Saccharomyces cerevisiae S288C: one gene and its partners. The protein of the gene in region 2 purifies or fractionates together with the protein of the main gene of each other region. This does not show direct contact. Each region holds a gene or a part of one and is shown on either strand. Other genes may lie near its edges. The genes, in order: GLO3, COP1, SEC21 and RET3.

Region 1 (4,997 bases), on a different chromosome or scaffold from region 2:
CCAGCATGGGTATATTCATATTGGTTGCACTCCTTATCTTGGTTTTAGGATGGTTCTACAGATAATAGGGAGATTGAGGATATAGCTGTATTCTAAATATATATTTATATATGTGTGTGTTTTGCCCTTTCCTTCCTTTCAGTCTTTATTTTACTTTGTTTTTCTACAATCTTTTTTTATTGTTTCCTTCTGTAGCCTTTACAATACTAGAACAAGGAACTAAAAGATCATACTTTCCTAACTTTTTTATATGTTTTATTTTTTAAATAGGAGAATAATCGATAACTATACCACTGTTGTAACATATTACTTGTTTAATTTATTCATGTTCGGTTTCCCTAGTGTAGTAGGCGCTATCTTGGGCAAATAACTATCCGTTATTAACCATAACAATGCGGGGTCTACTAAATGAGGGGAGGGTCTTGGATGCACATTAACGAAGATCTTGCGAGGGGGTCGCGCCTAAAAGGTCCATAAATAAATGAATACATAAACAGCCACCTACTTTCAGTTTGTTTTTTGCTAGGTCTCATAGTGAACGAGGGACTCACATATTGACAATATAGTAACATGGGCTTATCGCGCTGGCACGACAAGAATTCAAGGCCAGCAGAGGAAAAGAGCGAAGAAATGCAACAGGATGCGCACTACTACGCCCTTGCGGCAAGTGATAGTTTAAATGCAAGTGTTTCTAACGAATATGGTAATCAAGTAATGAACTCGTTTTGGAAAGTGGGTATAGACTCTCCCTATGTGGACGATGAAGCAATTAGAAACAGAGATGTCGAAAATAACTTACCTTCTTTAAAGCAAAGTGTTTATAATGCTAATGAACCAAATGCTACCTCGTCTGCATTTTCAACCGCTTCATACGCACATGAAACTTTCGATTTTAGAAACCTTAAACTAAGATAAGGGGGGATGAAGAATAAGAATAAACGCACGTACAATGCATATACAACCGTTTCTATGTACCATAAATATAATTATCATATAATGAAAAATGAGAATAAAAAACAATGATAACAATGAAAAAAAAAAAATTCAATTAAAGAGAAAATTAAACTTATTTTCTTAAGTAGTCCCTTAAATAACTACCGAGTTTTTCAGCACCCTGTTCTACAACGTCTCTCAACATCTGCAATTCATCATCTGCGGAGGCATTAAAATCGATGAAACCGTTATTAGAATTACGGCCATCAAAATTCCCTGCTCCACTTCCACTACTATTGATGGGATTACCAAATTCATCCACTTCTTTATCTTCTCCAAAGTATGAAGAAGAGGAAATTGATGTAGCATTGTCAAATGTTTTCAACTTGTCATGCGCTTCCCTGTTTGCTGCTTCATCAAATGAGCCACGACCAAATAATTGATCAGATGATATAGCTTTTTGTGTGCCGTACCTTTCCGCGATTCTGCCCGTATATCTTGGTCCCTGAGCTATTTTCTGAGATTCTTTTTGTTGCTTTGCCAAATCATTGGCGTCATTCATGGTCATACCAAATCCCAATTTGGCAAACTTGGGTGTTAAAGTATCTTGCTGTTCTTTTCTAGTTGTGTCGAAGCTGTTTGAAGTGTCATTTAAAAAATCATTGAATTCATCAGGCTGGGTATTAATATCATCTATACTGTTATTATTGTTGCCTTTACTGTTATTCATAAATTGGGAATCGTAATCATTTTGTCTAATTTTGGTGCTAGAAGACGAATTAGTGAACTCGTCCTCCTTTTCTTGTTGAGCCTCTTTTTTAAATTGATCAAACAAGTCTTCTGCCTGTGATTTGTCGACTTTCTTTGCGGTTAGTCTAGTGGGCTTTCTTGACGAAGACAAAATTGAATGTTTCTTTTTATCTTGCGAGTTTAATACCGGTTTCTTTCTGCTAGCCGTTAAGATGGAACTTCTCGTTTTAGTGACAGTGGTCTTGGGTGTGCTGCCTGTGGTGTTGTTTTTTGGGGCGAGAGAGCCTGTATTTACATTGAGTTTAGAACTGGAATTGGAGCTTGGTTTTTGCCAATTAGAGAAAAAATCGTCAACACTATTTTCTTTGGAAGTCGACCTGGAAGCGTCTGAATCGGTGTCCAACGGTGAGTCCGAAGAATCTTGACCGTTCAAGACTAATTCTGATGGGTATAACTCCATATCCTTTTGAACCTTCTTGTCGAGATGTATCTTATATTTCTTAGCAACAGGGCTCGTATATTTTGTTTTCGCGTCAACATTTGCTGTATTTAGTAGCTGTTTCCCATTGTTCTTTAAGAAAAAATCACGAGCCTTATGGTTCCCACCCAACTTAAACCTTCTTAAATTGTTAATTGTCCATTTATCTAATGTAGAAGACTTTACAAAGGTGATATGAACACCCATGTTTCTATGCACAGCAGAGCATTGAATACACAGCATCACACCAAAAGGTACCGAAGTCCAAGTAGGATTCTTGTTACCACAATCAAAACAAACTCGATTTTCCATGTTGCTACCTAGCTTCTGAAAAACTTGTTGAGTAGTCTGTTCCGTGGCAAATGTTTCTCCTTCATCGTTACTCATTGTCGCTATGTGTATACTAAATTGCTCAAGAAGACCGGATCAACAAGTACTTAACAAATACCCTTTCTTTGCTATCGCCTTGATCTCCTTTTATAAAATGCCAGCTAAATCGTGTTTACGAAGAATAGTTGTTTTCTTTTTTTTTTTTTTTTTTCGAAACTTTACCGTGTCGTCGAAAATGACCAAACGATGTTACTTTTCCTTTTGTGTCATAGATAATACCAATATTGAAAGTAAAATTTTAAACATTCTATAGGTGAATTGAAAAGGGCAGCTTAGAGAGTAACAGGGGAACAGCATTCGTAACATCTAGGTACTGGTATTATTTGCTGTTTTTTAAAAAAGAAGGAAATCCGTTTTGCAAGAATTGTCTGCTATTTAAGGGTATACGTGCTACGGTCCACTAATCAAAAGTGGTATCTCATTCTGAAGAAAAAGTGTAAAAGGACGATAAGGAAAGATGTCCCAACGATCTTCACAACACATTGTAGGTATTCATTATGCTGTAGGACCTAAGATTGGCGAAGGGTCTTTCGGAGTAATATTTGAGGGAGAGAACATTCTTCATTCTTGTCAAGCGCAGACCGGTAGCAAGAGGGACTCTAGTATAATAATGGCGAACGAGCCAGTCGCAATTAAATTCGAACCGCGACATTCGGACGCACCCCAGTTGCGTGACGAATTTAGAGCCTATAGGATATTGAATGGCTGCGTTGGAATTCCCCATGCTTATTATTTTGGTCAAGAAGGTATGCACAACATCTTGATTATCGATTTACTAGGGCCATCATTGGAAGATCTCTTTGAGTGGTGTGGTAGAAAATTTTCAGTGAAAACAACCTGTATGGTTGCCAAGCAAATGATTGATAGAGTTAGAGCAATTCATGATCACGACTTAATCTATCGCGATATTAAACCCGATAACTTTTTAATTTCTCAATATCAAAGAATTTCACCTGAAGGAAAAGTCATTAAATCATGTGCCTCCTCTTCTAATAATGATCCCAATTTAATATACATGGTTGACTTTGGTATGGCAAAACAATATAGAGATCCAAGAACGAAACAACATATACCATACCGTGAACGAAAATCATTGAGCGGTACCGCCAGATATATGTCTATTAATACTCATTTTGGAAGAGAACAGTCACGTAGGGATGATTTAGAATCGCTAGGTCACGTTTTTTTTTATTTCTTGAGGGGATCCTTGCCATGGCAAGGTTTGAAAGCACCAAACAACAAACTGAAGTATGAAAAGATTGGTATGACTAAACAGAAATTGAATCCTGATGATCTTTTATTGAATAATGCTATTCCTTATCAGTTTGCCACATATTTAAAATATGCACGTTCCTTGAAGTTCGACGAAGATCCGGATTATGACTATTTAATCTCGTTAATGGATGACGCTTTGAGATTAAACGACTTAAAGGATGATGGACACTATGACTGGATGGATTTGAATGGTGGTAAAGGCTGGAATATCAAGATTAATAGAAGAGCTAACTTGCATGGTTACGGAAATCCAAATCCAAGAGTCAATGGCAATACTGCAAGAAACAATGTGAATACGAATTCAAAGACACGAAATACAACGCCAGTTGCGACACCTAAGCAACAAGCTCAAAACAGTTATAACAAGGACAATTCGAAATCCAGAATTTCTTCGAACCCGCAGAGCTTTACTAAACAACAACACGTCTTGAAAAAAATCGAACCCAATAGTAAATATATTCCTGAAACACATTCAAATCTTCAACGGCCAATTAAAAGTCAAAGTCAAACGTACGACTCCATCAGTCATACACAAAATTCACCATTTGTACCATATTCAAGTTCTAAAGCTAACCCTAAAAGAAGTAATAATGAGCACAACTTACCAAACCACTACACAAACCTTGCAAATAAGAATATCAATTATCAAAGTCAACGAAATTACGAACAAGAAAATGATGCTTATTCTGATGACGAGAATGATACATTTTGTTCTAAAATATACAAATATTGTTGTTGCTGTTTTTGTTGCTGTTGATAAAGCGATTTTTATACTTTTCTCTTTTTCCTTTTTTTTTTTGATTGGCTGTTTCCTTATGCCGCTCTTTCCCAATTTATGACTTTCCAATAATGTATTATTTTGTTTCTCTTTCTCTCTGTTACCCTTTATTTTATCATCTACAATAATTGAATTCCGGAGAGGGTAAAGAAACAGGAAAAAGAAGAAAATGAGACATAGTCAGCATCGTAATCGTTTTCCTTCTGTATATTCCTTTATCAAAAGACTACACGCACATATATATTAATCCCGGTATGTTTTTGGTGTGCTAAATCTATCTTCAAGCACTATTATAGCATTTTTTTAAGAATATCCAAAATAATATGTAATTTATGATTAATCAAGGTTCAAGAATTGGAGAAACCGTGAGCGACTTCTTTGATACTTGGATGT
Region 2 (7,130 bases):
CTCTCCGATGAATTTCTTTTATACAAACGACTTACGTGTTCTTATCGATGTATTAATCAGAGAACTACAGAATATCAGTGAGGATGAAGAGGTATTGAGAAACACCCTTCTAAGGGTTCTGATTCCGCTATTAAAGAATACACAATTATCCAAAACACATTATAGAAAGGATGATTTGAATAAACTATTAAACTACTTGTCGACTTTAGATAATATATGCGTTGACAGTCCAGCGTTGCACGAGCATCAAGTTACAGTGGCCTTATCTCGGAAGTGTCTTCAACAAATTCCTTGGTTAGAGACACCTTCAACGCCTTCAGATGGAGGTTCATCGGTCTCTAGTAATAACACTAGTAGAAACTCTAGCATTGTTGCATTGGGGACGCCCGACAATCAAAATATCTTGGCTCGTAAAGGCCATCTTTATAGTAATCGTGAATTAGATGTTTCTGCAGAATCTTTGACTAAAAGAAAGGCTAAAGCTCCGCCTCCGCCTCCTCCTCCTCCTCCATCAAGAAAATGTGGAACTCCAAAATAAGTAAAGCATTATTTCTTCTTGCATTAATGTGGTTCTTCCGACCATTTCTTCTTCTACTCACTGCAGTATCTAATGACACATTGTACTTTTTATATACAAATGCAACAATCGTAACTATAAAACTAAAGTTCGGGTTGCTTCCGAATACATGCTGGCAGAATTTCAGGTTGTGTGTCACTTGTTAAAATAGGCGATATTTTTTATTTTAGAAGTTGTATATAACTGTTAATTACATAGTCAGTTTTTTTTTTTCACTATCATATTGTTTAGATTAAAAGGACTTGTCACATGAAATTTAGGTCGAGCAGAATACAATCCCGAGAAAATCAATAGGCAAAATAGCATTTATACACGTATTCTTAATCCGGATGCAGGTGCACCGATCTTAGAAATCATAGCAATTCTATCTATTTTATCTTTTTCCGTGATAACGTATTTACTACCTGTTAATGGGTCAGAAACGGAAGGTGTATCTTCATAAATTGGTTTGTAGGTGGCTGCACAAATATCGAATTTAGCATAAGGATCAAAGTCAATTGGAATGGCGTCACTGGCCATTGAGTCGGCTTTGTTTTTGATTTTACGTGCTTGTTCTGCACGAGGACCAGAAGAAATAATCTTTAAAAATTCACCGGCAAAATATGAGGCCTGTAAGAAATTTTTGTGTTTGAAATGTTGGGACATAGCCACTTGTAAAGCATTGGTACGATGAATTGGGGATAGTTTTGCCTTTGTAAAGTATGCAGCTAGCTCAAGCATGCGTACAGTATTTCCCTCCTTTAATGAGCGGCGTTCCAATTCAATGGATAAACCTAATATATACTCCCTAGCAGTTTCCAGTATCTTGTGTGCTAATTTTTCATCTTCAGCATCATCGACCATTAATAGCGTAATACGGTAGATAGCTTCTCTGAAGCATTCGATTGCAATATCTGGTTTGTTTAGTTTAAAGTTTTTGTAACCCTCATTCATTTTTTCATTAACGACATCAAGACCTGGCACGTAAGGAAGAATTTGATCTTCACTTACGGTATCATCATACGCTCTGACATAACCTAATTGAGCAGGAAGTTCACAGGGCGTACTAGGAATGTATGTTCTACAACCCTCATAAATGTTGGTAAAATATTTCTTCAATGGCTCCAGCTTGACTACACCCACTTGCTTGCTCAAGGCTTGAACAGCGGCATCAAAGGCACCAGCGGCAACTAGGACAGCAGGCAGTTTAGAATTCTTGATCCAAATGGCTGTTTCAACTTCCTGTGCTGGAGAGGTAATTTCGCCTTGCTCAACTTCTTCAGGTAACTCTTCTCCCACATCCAAATCTTCGTCACCCAAATCCCAGGCACCTTCGTCTTCACCAATATCCTCATCGTTAAAGTTTTCTTCGCCTAGTGGTTCTTCTTGCTCTTGAGTGGTGTTTACTGCTGGAGTTTCATCGTCTATAGTCAAATCGTCAATTTGACCTAAAACAGCCTTTTCAAAGTAAGATAGTTCAGCCTCTTTTAATGGCCATTTTTCAAGTGGCTTTGAGATCACTGGTCTTTGAACGAAGTTGGAGGCATCCATCTGGTCTGGTAAAGTAACATCTTGTTCATCAACTTCAGCTTGCTCCAAGAAAGCAGAAGCAGCCGCTTCATCTCCGTTAGCCTTTGCTACGGCATAAGCTAATGGTAAAGAGCCGCCCTCTGCAAAAATGCTAGATCTTTCCTTGGTTGAATTGTTGTAAAAGGTGTTTAATAGCATACTTCCAAAGTCTTCACGAGTCTGAGCGATATTTTGCATTTTAGATAGTTTGTTAACGTCACCTGTAACTAAATACAGGAAGGAAAGTTTGTCAAAAGAATGTTGAGTTTGATAAATCATTTCAGCTAAGCTGGCATTACCTTGTGCCAAGGCTTCTTGGATTAATCTTTCCCAAGTACTAGAATCATTCAGTTTTTTGGCTTCATCTAAGGCAACATCCAAATTACCGTATTCCAAAGCTAAATCAAAACGGATATGTGGGTCTTGAACGAATTGTAAAGCAATTTCTGGGTAACCTGACTTCTGCAGATAGGAAATGATATTCTGGCCAACCAAATTAGAATCTTTTATCAGACGTAAAACTTCTGGGAAATTTTTGTTAACCAGGGCCTTTTTGAAGCGATATTCTGTAGGATCAATGGTTAAAATTTCAATCTCACCTTCACGGTTCAAGCAGTACACTAATTTTCCCTGAACTTTTGTGATATATAAAGTTTTCTCCAAAGTTTTAATAATACCTCTATCCCCGTTCAATAGTGAGTACCTTATATGATTTAAAGTTGAATAAATTAATACACCAGTTTCATCCCAAGCGGCACTTTTGATTCTAATCGTTTCATGCATAGAATTAATCAATTCTAGCTTTTTGGTAGCCAAAGTTATGGTGTGCTTACTCATCAATGCAACATATTGACCATCTAAGGACCACGAAACGTACTTGACGTTTTTAACAGCCAATTGGGATACTTTTTTGCCCTGTTGGACATCATAAAGAATAACTTCTCTGGGGTGTATGACCAAAACAGATCCAGGACCTGCAGCTACAATAGTTCTTACTGTTTCCTCTACTTTGATATTTCTTGTAACTTTGTTTTCGAGAGAGCGAACTTCAACAGATTCAGTGTTCTTGTTGTAAACAACAAATCTATTACGACCAACAAAAGTAGCAAAATTACCTGTATCTTGGGTGACACTTGTTGGCTCCACAGCTCCAACTGGTTGTTTTGGTAAAATAACGAGAGCAAATTTGCCATTAGCTTCATTAACCAAAACTGAATGTTGGGAGGGATTGTACGATATACTTCTGAATGCATCCCAAGGTTGACCAATACCCTTTAAGGACGCATAAGGTAATGAAGCGACTCTTTTCTGGAAATTGAAACTTTGGATTTGCTTTTCCGCATTGACAAAAAACAACTGGTTTTGATGGATAAAGCTGCATGGTCTTTCGCGATCGAGCTTGAAAACCATAATACCAGAATCGTGAGCTGCACCAAATAGATTGATATGAGGATGTGCTGCAATCAACCAAAATCTATCGTTTTCTCTTTTGAATTGCTTTACTGGAGTTCTCTTGTCAAGATCCCAAACCCTTAGCGTTTTGTCTTCACCGACAGAAATGATCAAGTTTTGATGTGGGTGAAAGATAACACTATCAACATTGTTAGTGTGACCTCTGCAAGTATCAACTTCCCAAGCTTTCGTAGCACTCATTCTCCATAATTTAACTTGACGGTCGTCACTGCCGGAGACAATCAATGGTAAAGTTGGATGGAAAGAGGCCCAGTTGACACCTCTTGTGTGACCCTCTAGAATAAACTTGACAACACAGTCACCAAGAGAGCCATCCAATAGATTTTGTTGTGCACTCATTTGCTCCTCAAATGAACTAGTACCAGGAGCGGAGTGTCTTTTCCTTAAACCGGAAATATCCCAAATTCTGATGGTTTCATCCAGAGAAGCGGAAACGATCAGGTCATCGGTTGGATGAAATTGAGCACACATGACAAAATGATTGTGGCCGGTCAAACATGCAATTTCCTTACGGTTTTGCCAGTTCCAGATTCTTATGGTCTGGTCATCAGAAGCAGATATGATCCAAGGCAGCTCACGGTGGAAAAACACGGTACGGACATAATCCAAATGCCCAGTTAAGGTGTATAGACATTTGTTAGTATCTAAGGACCAAACTTTAATGGTATAGTCGTCACCTGCCGAAACAAAAATCGGTTGGGTTGGATGGAAATCTAGCCCACGAACAGGGCCCTCGTGGTCTTCAAATCTGTGAAGTAGTGTTCCCATCCTGTAATCCCATAATTGAATAGTAGAGGAAAACAAAGCCACCAAAACCCAAGGTCTGGAGGGGTGGAAGGCAATGCCCTTGGCCCTAGTGGACTTTGATTCAAATTTAGTTAACATCTTCATCTTGATCCAGTAATGAAATGAACAAAGACACTACAGAAGAAAAAAAGTATACTGATTTCAGGTTAAATAAACCGCGAATTTGTAAACAGGTATGATAATGTTTTTATTCAAAAGTGTAAAGGGAAGATAAAATAAAAAGAAAAAACTTTATATCTTAAGCAAAGAAGGGGGTAAGTAACAAATGTTTGGAAAATCCTGCTGGTTTCGCCAATTCTATGATTTACCTAATTGCAATGCCTCTTCAAACAAGTTTGTGGTCCCTGTATGCTACTGAATCGAGGCTCAATCGTCACAGTCTCGAAGACGGATCTGTTATTTATTCAAGTTGGCAAATTGTCGATTTCGTTTCGTGTTGTCGAAATTTTCGGTCGCTCTGTACGTCGTATAAATGCTGACAATAAGAATAATAGTTAAGAGTACATACTAAATTATGTGTTACAATATACTAGATGAAGGCTCGTCAACGAGGCAAGCAATGGTTGGAACTACTCGTCCACAAGAGTGGCAGTTTTTTCGTCGAACTTCAATAGGCCTTTCCGCTCCTTTAGTTTGGCCTGTACTAGCACAAGTAGGTTGTATAAGATAGAAAGAGTGGGTGTAGCGACGCCGTTTCTTTTCGCGATTCTTATGGGGTTGCCTAGGATGACTTCTAGCTCCATCAATTGGCCCTTCTCGCAGTCCACGCACATGGATGGCTTGAACACCTTTTTCCTGGTAATCTCTGTAAACATCGTTATGAACTCCTCTTCGATAATGATGCCTTCACTCGCCGCAATGGCGATGATCTCCCTCATGGCAGGGTGGAACACTTCAATTTCTGTGCTCTTCTTGTTAACCCCAAACTCCAGGCAACGCGGAACGTCTAGCCCCACAAGTGCCGTGGATGTGTTGATAGCTGCATTGTAGAGCAACTTCTTCCACCGAGAGTAACGGACCCTAGGGTCAAATTCGACAAAGTTTTGCCCCTCGTTGCTGTACATCCTGACGAAGTCGTTGGCAGCCTGGATAGCAGCAGCGTCCTGTGGATCAAAAGCTCCACACGATAAGTGGTCCTGGCCCACTTGACTGATATGGCCTGACCCGATCTTAGTGGATCCGATTAACTGGATGCCAGAAAGCACCGTGTAACGATACTGCTCTCTGGGAAATTCCGCCCATATCTCCTTCTCAATATCGATTCCGTTCTGTACCAGTAAAATGTGTGTCGTCAATTGCGGCCCATGTAGCTCTTTATTCTTCTCAAGCACAGGTCTGATGATGTTGGACACCCTTGAATTAACGGGCCCATCTATGATGTTCTTGGTAGTCACTACAATATAGTTGTATCCTTGGTTGTCTGCGGCAGAAGCAGCGTCCTCGACGCTGCTGTAAATATGGTGGGGTCTCCAACCTTCTAACCGGCCATAGTCACATGATTCGATTGTGTAGCCATGCTTCAATACCCTATCGTAGTCAGATCTGACTACCAAGGAAACGTCGCTCTCCTTCTTAAGCCACAACGAAAGCGCAGTAATGACCCCAACGCCACCTGCCCCGATAACTAGTATTCTAGACATTTTCGACATTAGCTTATGCCAACTTGTATCCTGGCACCGGGACTGTAGTTTATGAGGTATATCAATATGTCCTAATTAAGGCTATATAATTTGGTATTACTATCACTTGCCACGGGGAAACTGAAATTTTTTTCGTTTCGCCACCAAGAAAGGCTAATTGAATACAGTTCAAGAGGTTGATATAGCTAAGTGGGCATGAAGGTTATGAATTGTAATTGGAGGTGCGGCAAGTGTGCAAGACGGGTAAAGGAGAGTATAGAACGATGTCTGCTAAAGTTCCATCTAACGCCACGTTTAAGAACAAGGAAAAACCTCAAGAGGTTCGCAAAGCCAACATCATCGCTGCACGTTCTGTTGCAGATGCCATCCGTACTTCATTGGGTCCCAAGGGTATGGACAAGATGATTAAGACATCTCGTGGAGAAATCATCATCTCTAATGATGGCCACACCATTCTAAAACAGATGGCCATTCTGCATCCGGTGGCCAGAATGCTAGTAGAGGTTTCTGCCGCGCAGGACTCGGAAGCCGGTGATGGTACCACTTCTGTGGTGATCTTGACCGGAGCTCTATTGGGTGCTGCTGAGAGGCTGTTAAACAAGGGCATCCATCCAACCATCATTGCGGACTCCTTTCAAAGTGCTGCGAAGAGATCTGTCGATATTCTTTTAGAAATGTGCCATAAGGTTTCGTTGAGCGATAGAGAACAGCTGGTTCGTGCTGCATCCACTTCTTTGAGTTCCAAGATTGTGTCTCAATACTCTTCGTTTTTGGCGCCCTTGGCAGTGGACTCCGTATTGAAGATATCTGATGAAAACTCTAAGAATGTTGACCTGAACGATATCAGACTGGTCAAAAAAGTTGGTGGTACCATTGATGACACAGAAATGATAGATGGTGTGGTCTTGACACAAACGGCAATCAAATCTGCTGGTGGTCCGACAAGAAAGGAAAAAGCAAAGATTGGGTTAATTCAATTCCAAATATCTCCTCCAAAGCCCGACACAGAAAATAATATCATCGTTAATGACTATAGACAAATGGATAAGATCCTTAAAGAAGAAAGAGCGTATTTGCTAAATATC
Region 3 (6,055 bases), on a different chromosome or scaffold from region 2:
GGAGTGGCCTATTCTATGTATTAACAGCCTTTGCAAGACGCGACATTGTTCTTTCCGATATGGCTCGGAGTAGACTAAATATGCTACTTATAGTTTTTCTTGCGTATACCATTGTCTTATAGTTTTTGCACACATTAATGTTTAAAATTGAAACTACGAAGCAAAACAATAAAAAAAACAAACAAAACTTAAAAATAAACAAAAGACGCTCGAAACCAAGTGCATTTATTGAATGTTTTTGGGAATGCAAGTAGCAATACTATTGTAAAAGTACTACTATTTCCCTGTATCATACGCTTTTACTACTATTCCTCACATAAAGCGAGATGCTTACAGAATGCATAAGAGAGAGAAGAAAACCCTATTACGCCCACTTGTCTATATTAGATTACTGTCCCTATTTATATCATCATTGCAAAACGTGAGCACCTCATTAGACGTAGATTCTTGCATAAGTATTACTAGCAGGAGAGGAAAAACTCCACCCACACACCTCAACATGCTGAGAATTTTGCTGCGAGCAGCAAGAGGCAAAATCCAAATTTAAAGTAATTTACGCATAGAAGACATTGTAAAGGGATTGCAAAGACGTAGAGTACGCAAGTTAGAAACCGTTCATCTTTTAAAACTCCCAAGTTTTGACAAATTTGCGAGTGTGTGTGTTTCTGCTGATCTTGACGAGATTAAACTTTGTTCCTGAAGCAACAACGACAGCAACTGAACATCCTCTGAATAAGTTAATATGTTTTCCGCTCAAAAGCCAATATATGGCAATGGAGCAGGCGTGAACATGGGTGGTGGTGGTCCTTCAACTAATAATCCAGGATCTATGTCCATGCCTGGGGTTCCAACTTCAATGGGTCCAGGCATGAATCAACAAATTCCAAGTGGAGGCCCCATGCTAATGGGCAATACTCCGAATAATAATAATAGCAATGAAAATGGCGAGAACAACGGCAATAACGGCAATAACGGCGGTAACGATGCTAACGCAACTCGAAACAATCCCAACATGGTCAATAATAGAGGCGCAGTGCATGCTCTAGATGATCCCAATGTATACCACTGGATTTGTCAATTGACCTACGGCCCTCAAAAGGAACAAGCACTGCTTGAATTAGGTCGCAAAAGAGAACAGTTTGATGACCTTGCCGTTGTGCTTTGGTCTTCCTTTGGTGTAATGACCTCATTGCTGAACGAAATCATTTCCGTATATCCCATGCTGCAACCTCAGATGCTCTCTAACAATCTATCAAATCGTGTATGCAACGCTCTAGTTCTTCTACAGTGTGTTGCATCTCACCCAGAGACAAAACATCTCTTTTTACAGGCCCATATTCCTCTCTTTCTTTTCCCCTTCCTAAATACTACCTCCAGGCAAAGAACTTTTGAGTACTTGAGATTGACTTCATTAGGTGTGATAGGCGCATTGGTCAAAAATGACTCACAAGACGTAATAACGTTTTTGCTAAGAACCGATATCGTGCCGTTATGCCTAAGGATCATGGAATCTTCTTCTGAGCTTTCCAAGACAGTCGCCATTTTCATTTTACAGAAAATCCTACTAGATGACGTTGGATTGCAATACATCTGTGCCACCTTGGAAAGGTTCTACGCCGTAACTAATGTCTTAAAAGATATGGTTGAGCACTTGACCGTGAGCACACCACCGGGACGACTACTGAAACATATCATTAGATGCTACTTAAGATTAAGCGACGATCTCGAAGCACGCAGGCTATTGAAAATAGTCTTACCTGCCAAACTGAGAGATAACACTTTTACGGAAGTACTAAGAGACGACGTCGGGTCCAAGAGATGTCTGGCACAATTGCTACTGACATTAAACGAAGAAACCTCATGATGCATCCCCATAGATATATTACTGTTTTTCTCTTTCTATTTTCCTGTATTGTTTTAACCTTGCCTTTTTGTTTTAGTTTCACTTCCTCACCTCTCCTAATTTTGTATAGTTATATTTATATGCATGAAATGTATAAAGTCCACTCATATTTCAGAATGGTTTAAGTTAAGTGCCAGAAGGTTCTTCTGTACTATTACTATTACCCATTTTTCATCCTATCACCCGGAATGTACCCCTTGTGTCATTCACTACGACGCCACGAACCACGATTCTATTTTTTTCGAAATCTAAAGGTTTCGTCAAGATCAATGAAATATACATAGGCGTTTTTTTGGATACGAGTTGCATTGTTGAGAACACAATTCTTTACAAATAAGTGCAAGGGAGGAATTGTGTGTGCTCATTACCAACGTACTTCTTCAGTTATTCTGCTAAACCCGTTTTTTTGTTCTTAGCTTCATCCAGGTGAGCCCGCAAACATTACAGAACGACGTATAATACAAAATAACTAAACAAATACGGATAGGACAAAAGCCAAGAAGCGATACTAAATCACAGAGCGAATCAACATGTCTGCACATACTTACAAAAAGTTTGAAAACTCGACCTCGGGCGATTTACCTGATAAAATGACCATTTATCAGGATTGTATGAACACGTTTAACGAATCACCTGTCAATTCCAAGAGATGTCGTTTATTGATTTCTCGCTTGCTGAGACTCTTGGCCCAGGGCGAAACCTTCCCACAGAATGAAGCAACTGCATTATTTTTCTCTATCTCCAAATTATTTCAACACCAGAACGATCCTTTAAGGCAGGCTGTTTATTTGGCAATCAAGGAATTGAGTGGCATTTCGGAGGATGTGTTGATGGCAACCTCTTCAATCATGAAGGACGTTCAAAACGGTTCCGATTTGATTAAGCCTGACGCTATTAGATCGCTGACTTATGTCTTGGATGAATCTACTGCTTTTTCCGCTGAAAGGTTATTAAAAAGTGCCGTGGTAAGTAGACATCCTTCAATATCCTCAGCAGCATTATGTACTTCTTATCATTTGCTGCCCATTTCAGAAGTCACTATCAGAAGATTCACCAATGAAACTCAAGAAGCTGTTTTGGATTTGAAACAATTTCCAAATCAACACGGTAATAGCGAATATTATCCAAACTCCACTTATATTTCTCAATATCATGCTCTTGGGTTGCTTTATCAACTGAAGAAAACTGATAAAATGGCGTTACTAAAATTGGTTAGACATTTCTCTGAAAACAATTCTATGAAAAATCAATTGGCCAAGGTAGAATTGGTCAAGATTGTCAACGATTTGATTTATAGGGATCCTCAATTATTTAGTCAATTCAGGCCACTTTTGTCTGATTGGCTATCCAACAAGTTCGAATCTGTTCAGTTGGAAACGGCGAAATTGATTACTTCTTTCGCTACTCGCAATTCCCGCTTAGTGGCTCCCGAGTTATATGCGGCAGCTATCAGTGCTTTACAGTCCTTACTGACCGTTCCTCGTGTTTCTTCTAGATTCGCTGCATTGAGAATCTTAAATAGAATATCCATGGTTTCACCAGAAAAGATTGTTGTTTGTAATCCTGAACTAGAATCTTTAATTAATGATTCTAATAGAAACATTTCTACTTATGCAATCACCACTTTATTGAAGACAGGAACTTCCAAAAATATTTCATCTCTGATTTCGACTATTACTAATTTTATCCATGATGTCAGTGATGACTTTAAGATCATTATTATTGACGCCGTTCGTACGTTGTCTTTGAACTTCCCACAGGAATGGAAGTCAATTTTGAACTTCTTAATCGATGTTTTGAAAAATAGTGAAGGTGGATTCAAATTTAAAAACAGTATTGTCGAAGCATTAATCGATATTGTTTCATTTGTTCCACAGTCTAAAGAACTCGCCTTAGAAAACTTGTGTGATTTCATCGAGGATTGTGAATTCAACGAAATACTAGTGAGAATACTACATCTTTTGGGTAAAGAAGGTCCATCTGCCCCAAATCCATCATTATATGTTAGACATATTTATAACAGAGTGGTGTTGGAAAATTCTATTATTAGATCTGCTGCCGTTGTAGCTTTATCTAAGTTTGCTTTGACGAAGAACGATCCTACCTTATATGAGTCAATCATAAGTTTGTTAAAGAGAATCGCTAATGATAAAGACGATGAAGTCAGAGACAGAGCCACCATTGCACTAGAATTCATTGATTCGGCTAGGAATAAAGATGATGTTATAGCACAAAATCTAATCGAATCCAAATATTTTTACGATATTCCATCATTAGAGTCAAAATTAAGTTCTTACATTTCCTCAAATACTGATTCATTTGCAACTGCATTTGATGTGAATCAAGTTCGTAAGTTTACTGAGGATGAAATGAAGGCAATAAATCTGAAGAGAAAGCAAGAACAAATTTTCAATCAAAAGTCTGAAACCACTTTGGATACTACACCAGAGGCAGAGAGTGTTCCAGAAAAAAGAGCTGACGCTAATTCATTTGCTGGTCCAAACTTGGACGACCACCAAGAAGATCTACTAGCTACTAAGTACGCTGACGAATTGCTATCCATTGAACAAATTAAACCATTTGGTCAATTAGTAAATAGTTCTAGGGCTATCTCATTAACTGAGCCAGAAGCAGAATTCGTTGTACGTGGTGTCAAACATCTCTTCAAAGACAATGTTGTTTTACAATTTAATATTACGAATACTCTGACGGATATTGCCCTAGACAATGTTTCTGTAGTCTGTACCCCTGAAATTTCTGATGAAGCTGAATTAGAAGAGCTATTCACCCTACAAGTGGACAGATTATTACCATCCGAGGAAGCAGCTTGTTACGTTGCATTCAAAAAACTTGATGAAATTGTAATGGAAGGTTTCTTGAACAACTTAACATTCACTACAAAAGAAATAAACCCTGACACTAATGAGCCATTTGATGGTGATGAAGGTTTCCAAGATGAATATGAAATTGACTCGATTTTCTTGAATGCTGGTGATTATGTTAAGAGTTCTTTCACTGGTAACTTCTCCGCTACATTTGATGAGTTGCCATGCGAAGAAGTTGCTGTTTTCAACATTCAAGAAGATTTATCCATACAAGAAGTAGTAGATAAGATTATTTTGAACAGTAGCTGCTTACCGGTGGAAAGTACCCAATTTGCTCCAAGTGATTCAAACTCCCACACCTTGAAATTATTTGGTAAGAGTGCTTTAACTGGATCTAAAGTAGCCCTACAGATTAAGATGATCAAGAGTTCGAAAGGTCTTGCTTTGAAAGTTCATGGTAAAGGTGAAGACAGCTTATTATGCTCTGATCTGGTGAATGGTCTAATGCAGTAAGCTGTGAAATTTTATTTCAGTTAATCCCTTCTTTTGTTATCAATAGTATTAAAAGAAATGCGTCAGCTTTAGCAAGCGTGCATGCAAATAAGGGAATGAACAGCAAGAACAATAATAAACCAAAAAAATCACGGATAGAATATGACGGATCATCACCACACGAAGAATAAATTATGTAATCTTTGTATAAACAAAATTTTTAAAGAAAAATACTATAATAGTTTGACAAGAGAAAACGAAATGGAAGAAACAGGACAACAGGGCAGAAAAAAGTTGACATTATGCAATTGATGAAAGAAGAAGAAGAAAAAAAACAAAAAAAAAGCACTAGTCTGACCAGGCATATTGTAAAAGGCTGCAGACCCTTGAACGCACTACACTTTTCACTGTATTCCGTTACCAACATTACTGTTTGACAGCGATGGATGCTGATGAATTGGAATTGAAAGGTCATTTGAAAAAATTGAAAAAAGAAGAATTGCTTAGAAGGAAACAGTTAAAAGAGAGTAATCTTCAGAAAAGAGAGCTTGAATATAATAATGCCTCAAAAAATACTTCAATATATATTTCTGGTCTTCCCACAGACAAAACAACGAAAGAAGGACTCACTGAGCAGTTTTGCAAGTATGGAATGATAAGAACCAATCGAGATGGGGAACCCCTTTGCAAGCTATATGTGAATGATAAAGGCGCTTTCAAAGGGGATGCCTTGATCACTTATTCCAAGGAAGAAAGTGTTACATTAGCAATCGAAATGATGAACGAGTCGATCTTCCTGGGAAAACAGATCAGGGTCGAAAGAGCCCAATTTCAA
Region 4 (3,655 bases), on a different chromosome or scaffold from region 2:
AATGCGTATCTAGAGGCTGTGAAAAGTGGTCCTGTAAGAGGTCAAAGAAACAAGCTGAAATTCAGGAAAAATGGAAAGGACTCTGATGAATTTGGCGATGATGATGATGGTGAAAAGGATAGTAGGCTAATGAGAGGAAGAGTAAATCAAGGTAACAAGATTGGCAAACATAATAAGAAAGGTCCAAAGTTCAAATCTAGAAAAAAATTATAGAAGATTGAAACTGAGCAATATGGCTAATTACACACCTGGAGAAAAAATCAGATATGTATATATAAGAATATTATAATACTGTATATTAAAAATGATTAAAATAAAGAAAAAAATGAATCGGGCGTTTAATTGCTTATTATCTTGAAGAAGCGAAAGTACACTATATAGTAATAATGTGAGGTTAATTAAATATGGATGAGATAATGACGAAAGAAAATGCAGAAATGTCGTTTTAAAAGTAACCCCCATAATCTAGTGAGGTTCGACGTTGAAATGTGCTGTCCATATCTTCCTGCTCTGCCCATTTAGTATCAACATTTGAGTCGAATTGAAACATTGATATGTCACGGTCATCACCATGAGGAGACTCTGTTAAACTTTTATTGTTCTCTTTAAAACTTTCCTCATTGTTATTTTCTTGAGACTTTTGGTTAGGGCCTTCCACTTCGCCAAGTGATTCAAGCTCCTCATCCTCAAATGAAAGAGTTATATTTTCTAACCTATTTTCTTTTCTCATTATCGGCAGTTTGCTAGTTACAAATGGATTTTCTTGGATCTCTGTTAAGGCATCCTCATCTCTTGGGGTCATCGCCGAAGGCATCCTATCTTCGTTTGTTATGGTAGTGTGGTGATGGCGGCTTAGAATGGAAGATTTATAGCCTGCAATATGTGGTAAAGCCGGTACATTTTGAGATTCTTTTTTGGAAGCTCTTTCAATCATGTTTATACGTTGTCTAGCAATGACTAATTTGATCCAATCATCTAATCCATTATTATTTATTAGATCTTCTATCAACTCTGTTTTTCTATTCTTTGTTTCTAATTTCTGTTTCGCACCCTTGTTTTGCAGTAATTGATTGAGATAGTCAGGTATTGCTGACAAAGGATCAGATTCTTTTTCCTCACTTTGTAGTAATTCTACTGTGGGTAAGGCAGTTATTCGCGCGTCGGTCAATTGAGTACTATAAATACACCAGTCCTTGAACTTTTCCATTCCTCGTGAACTTGATAATTCGGAGTTTTCATCATAGACATCCAGAACGTTCGTAGGCTTAACAATACCTAGATTTTCCAGAGCCAGAGTTATATCTTGTAAAGCAATTGTATCGTCCTGATCACATCTTGCCTGAGCGATAGAACTGACCTCTGATGCTAACAAACTCAAGAATTTTGCATAGAGATCGGTCATGACATCCACCAGACTGGGCCTTGCCCTGTCAAATCCTTGTGCCTTCAATAATTGGAGAATAGATATGCGTAGTAGAGCAAAATAGAAGTCATTATTTGTAGTCATAGCAGAGGAACTCTATTGACCCAAAGATATCGCTGTTTTCCGCTAGTAGGTGATTTGGAATTGCTCAGGAAGCTACTTCAAGTGTTATATTAGCATACCTTCATCATGCAATATGAAATTACTGAAAAAAAAAACTAAAGCATCGCGAGCTTACCCGTTTCGCCACTTCTGTCAAGTGAAAAAACACGTTTGCATTGTTTAGGCTACAAGGTGTGGAATATCGAAGTTATTGCTAGACAGAAGTTCTTTAGGCATTTAGGTTTTGTTTGTGAGCTGGCTTGCTAATTTTGAGTACTGTGCATCATTGTTCCAGGATGTCTTCTTTATCGCTATATACTGTTCAGGCTGTTTTAATACTAGATCAGCAAGGAGAACGAATTTATGCAAAGTATTATCAACCTCCTCATAGATCTGATGAAGGACACCAATTGCTCTTCAATTCGGTGAAGAAGCAAAAAGAGTTTGAGAAACAACTATACCGTAAGACTCACAAGCAAGATTCGGAGATTTTAATCTTCGAGGATCATTTAGTCCTTTACAAAGAATACATTGATATCACGATATATTTAGTTGCTTCGCTGGAAGAGAATGAAATTGTTCTTCAGCAAGGATTTTCAGCAATCAGAGGAGCTTTGGATTTGATTTTGAACTCAGGAATGGACAAAAAAAACATCCAAGAAAACTATGATATGGTTTTATTAGCTATTGATGAAACCATTGATAATGGTGTTATCCTCGAAACTGACTCTAACACTATTGCATCCAGAGTTTCTAAACCACCTACGAACGAACCCCAAATGGCATTAGATTTGGATAAGGGTTTCTTAGGCGCGTGGGGTTTCGCAAAGAGCAAGTTTCAAGAAAGGTTACAGCAAGGCTTATGATCACAAGGCAAAGCGGATAGAAGAAAATTTTAGCTGGTCTTATATGGTATATATGCAGTGTCTTACTTTCTCCCTTCCATATATATGTATCTACTTATATATATAAGTATATGTTGCTCATTTAGAAATGATTGTCACCTCATGCTAATCATTTTATTCTTCTCGTTGGTCTGTGATGAAAAATAATGAAAAAATTATAATTGCTGTCTATTTTCTTTTCATCTCATATGATTTAGCGTTTTTTTTTGCCCTTCTTCGAAGAGTTACCACCGTTCTTGGTGGATTTCTGCCCAGCGATTGTTACTTTTAACTTGTCGACACAGAGCAGAAGAACCAAGTCCTGTTCCTTCAAGCCTTTAATCATTTCATGTTCTTGGGGCCAATCCATTTCGTTGTCAGTTGAAGAACCGTCTAGTGGTCTACTCTTGAAATAATGTAAAATTTCAGTTAAAGTCTTAGTTTTCTTCGCACTTCCCGGTTGTATTTTGACTTTGTATTTATATTTCAAAAGCGCAGGCCAGGGGGCAAATACTGGTATAATATCATCAACCACATCGCCCTTATCGAGAGATGGTTTTAATTCGGACTTGTGTTTATCATAGTTCACTCTTGCTTTCTCTTTTTTGGTGAATTTTAAAGCCTGTAGTCTTCTTTGTTTCTCGCGTTTATTCTTTCTATCTTCTCTAACTTCTCGCTTCATTATTTCTTCTTTCTTCCTTTGTTGCTGCTTTTCGATACCCTTCAAAGTACCCAAGGCCTCCAAACGCAAGAGACGTTCAGTTTCATCCTGGTCGGCGTATTTCTTTTGAATTTTCTTCAATTTTCCTCTTTTACCACGGACGTTACTGTTTATGTTTTCGATTAAAGATATCGGAACACCTGGTTCATCAAGGATACGCTGCGTACTGCTATTGTCATTTTTGGCTTTAGCATTTCCAGAATCAGAGTCGGTATCGGATGATATGGTGCAATGCTTTTCGATGTCTTTTTCAAGATTATCGTGTTCAAAACTGTTGTTTTTCGTGCTATCGTTTGAATCTCCACCCTTCTCTAACCCATTGACCTCGTTACTATCGTCTTCATCTTGCTGTTGCTCTTCTTCTTTTTCTTCTTCTTCTTTTTCTTCTTCTTCTTCTTCTTCTTCTTCTTCTTCTTCTTCTTCTTCTTCCTCTTCTTCTTCTTCTTCTTCTTCGTCATCATCACCATTATCCTCATTTCCACTGGTTTTCACTTTCCATAAAAATCCAAAACCCATCACAAGTTG

The links.
Region 1: the proteins of COP1 (region 2) and GLO3 purify together in Saccharomyces cerevisiae (affinity purification with mass spectrometry; 4 studies listed by BioGRID). This does not show direct contact.
Region 3: the proteins of COP1 (region 2) and SEC21 purify together in Saccharomyces cerevisiae (affinity purification with mass spectrometry; 8 studies listed by BioGRID). This does not show direct contact.
Region 4: the proteins of COP1 (region 2) and RET3 purify together in Saccharomyces cerevisiae (affinity purification with mass spectrometry, with the first as the bait; 5 studies listed by BioGRID). This does not show direct contact.

The regions. Positions count from the first base shown.
Region 1 is NC_001137.3:401,805-406,801, forward strand, and holds GLO3 (ADP-ribosylation factor GTPase-activating protein), read right to left. Parts: upstream 2,549-4,997; coding exon 1,067-2,548; downstream 1-1,066. Other genes in the region: phosphatidylinositol-binding protein SCS2, read left to right, coding at 1-65; YER121W (uncharacterized protein), read left to right, coding at 571-915; casein kinase YCK3, read left to right, coding at 3,009-4,583. UniProt on the Saccharomyces cerevisiae protein: GTPase-activating protein for the ADP ribosylation factor (ARF) family. Involved in retrograde vesicular transport from the Golgi to the endoplasmic reticulum.
Region 2 is NC_001136.10:193,688-200,817, forward strand, and holds COP1 (coatomer subunit alpha), read right to left. Parts: upstream 4,490-7,130; coding exon 884-4,489; downstream 1-883. Other genes in the region: LDB17 (Ldb17p), read left to right, coding at 1-538; YDL144C (uncharacterized protein), read right to left, coding at 4,975-6,045; chaperonin-containing T-complex subunit CCT4, read left to right, coding at 6,309-7,130. UniProt on the Saccharomyces cerevisiae protein: The coatomer is a cytosolic protein complex that binds to dilysine motifs and reversibly associates with Golgi non-clathrin-coated vesicles, which further mediate biosynthetic protein transport from the ER, via the Golgi up to the trans Golgi network.
Region 3 is NC_001146.8:89,561-95,615, forward strand, and holds SEC21 (coatomer subunit gamma), read left to right. Parts: upstream 1-2,433; coding exon 2,434-5,241; downstream 5,242-6,055. Other genes in the region: CCR4-NOT core subunit CAF40, read left to right, coding at 743-1,864; U2 snRNP complex subunit CUS2, read left to right, coding at 5,663-6,055. UniProt on the Saccharomyces cerevisiae protein: The coatomer is a cytosolic protein complex that binds to dilysine motifs and reversibly associates with Golgi non-clathrin-coated vesicles, which further mediate biosynthetic protein transport from the ER, via the Golgi up to the trans Golgi network.
Region 4 is NC_001148.4:533,197-536,851, forward strand, and holds RET3 (coatomer subunit zeta), read left to right. Parts: upstream 1-1,821; coding exon 1,822-2,391; downstream 2,392-3,655. Other genes in the region: mRNA-binding protein RRP12, read left to right, coding at 1-213; TAF3 (Taf3p), read right to left, coding at 446-1,507; RQC2 (Rqc2p), read right to left, coding at 2,624-3,655. UniProt on the Saccharomyces cerevisiae protein: The coatomer is a cytosolic protein complex that binds to dilysine motifs and reversibly associates with Golgi non-clathrin-coated vesicles, which further mediate biosynthetic protein transport from the ER, via the Golgi up to the trans Golgi network.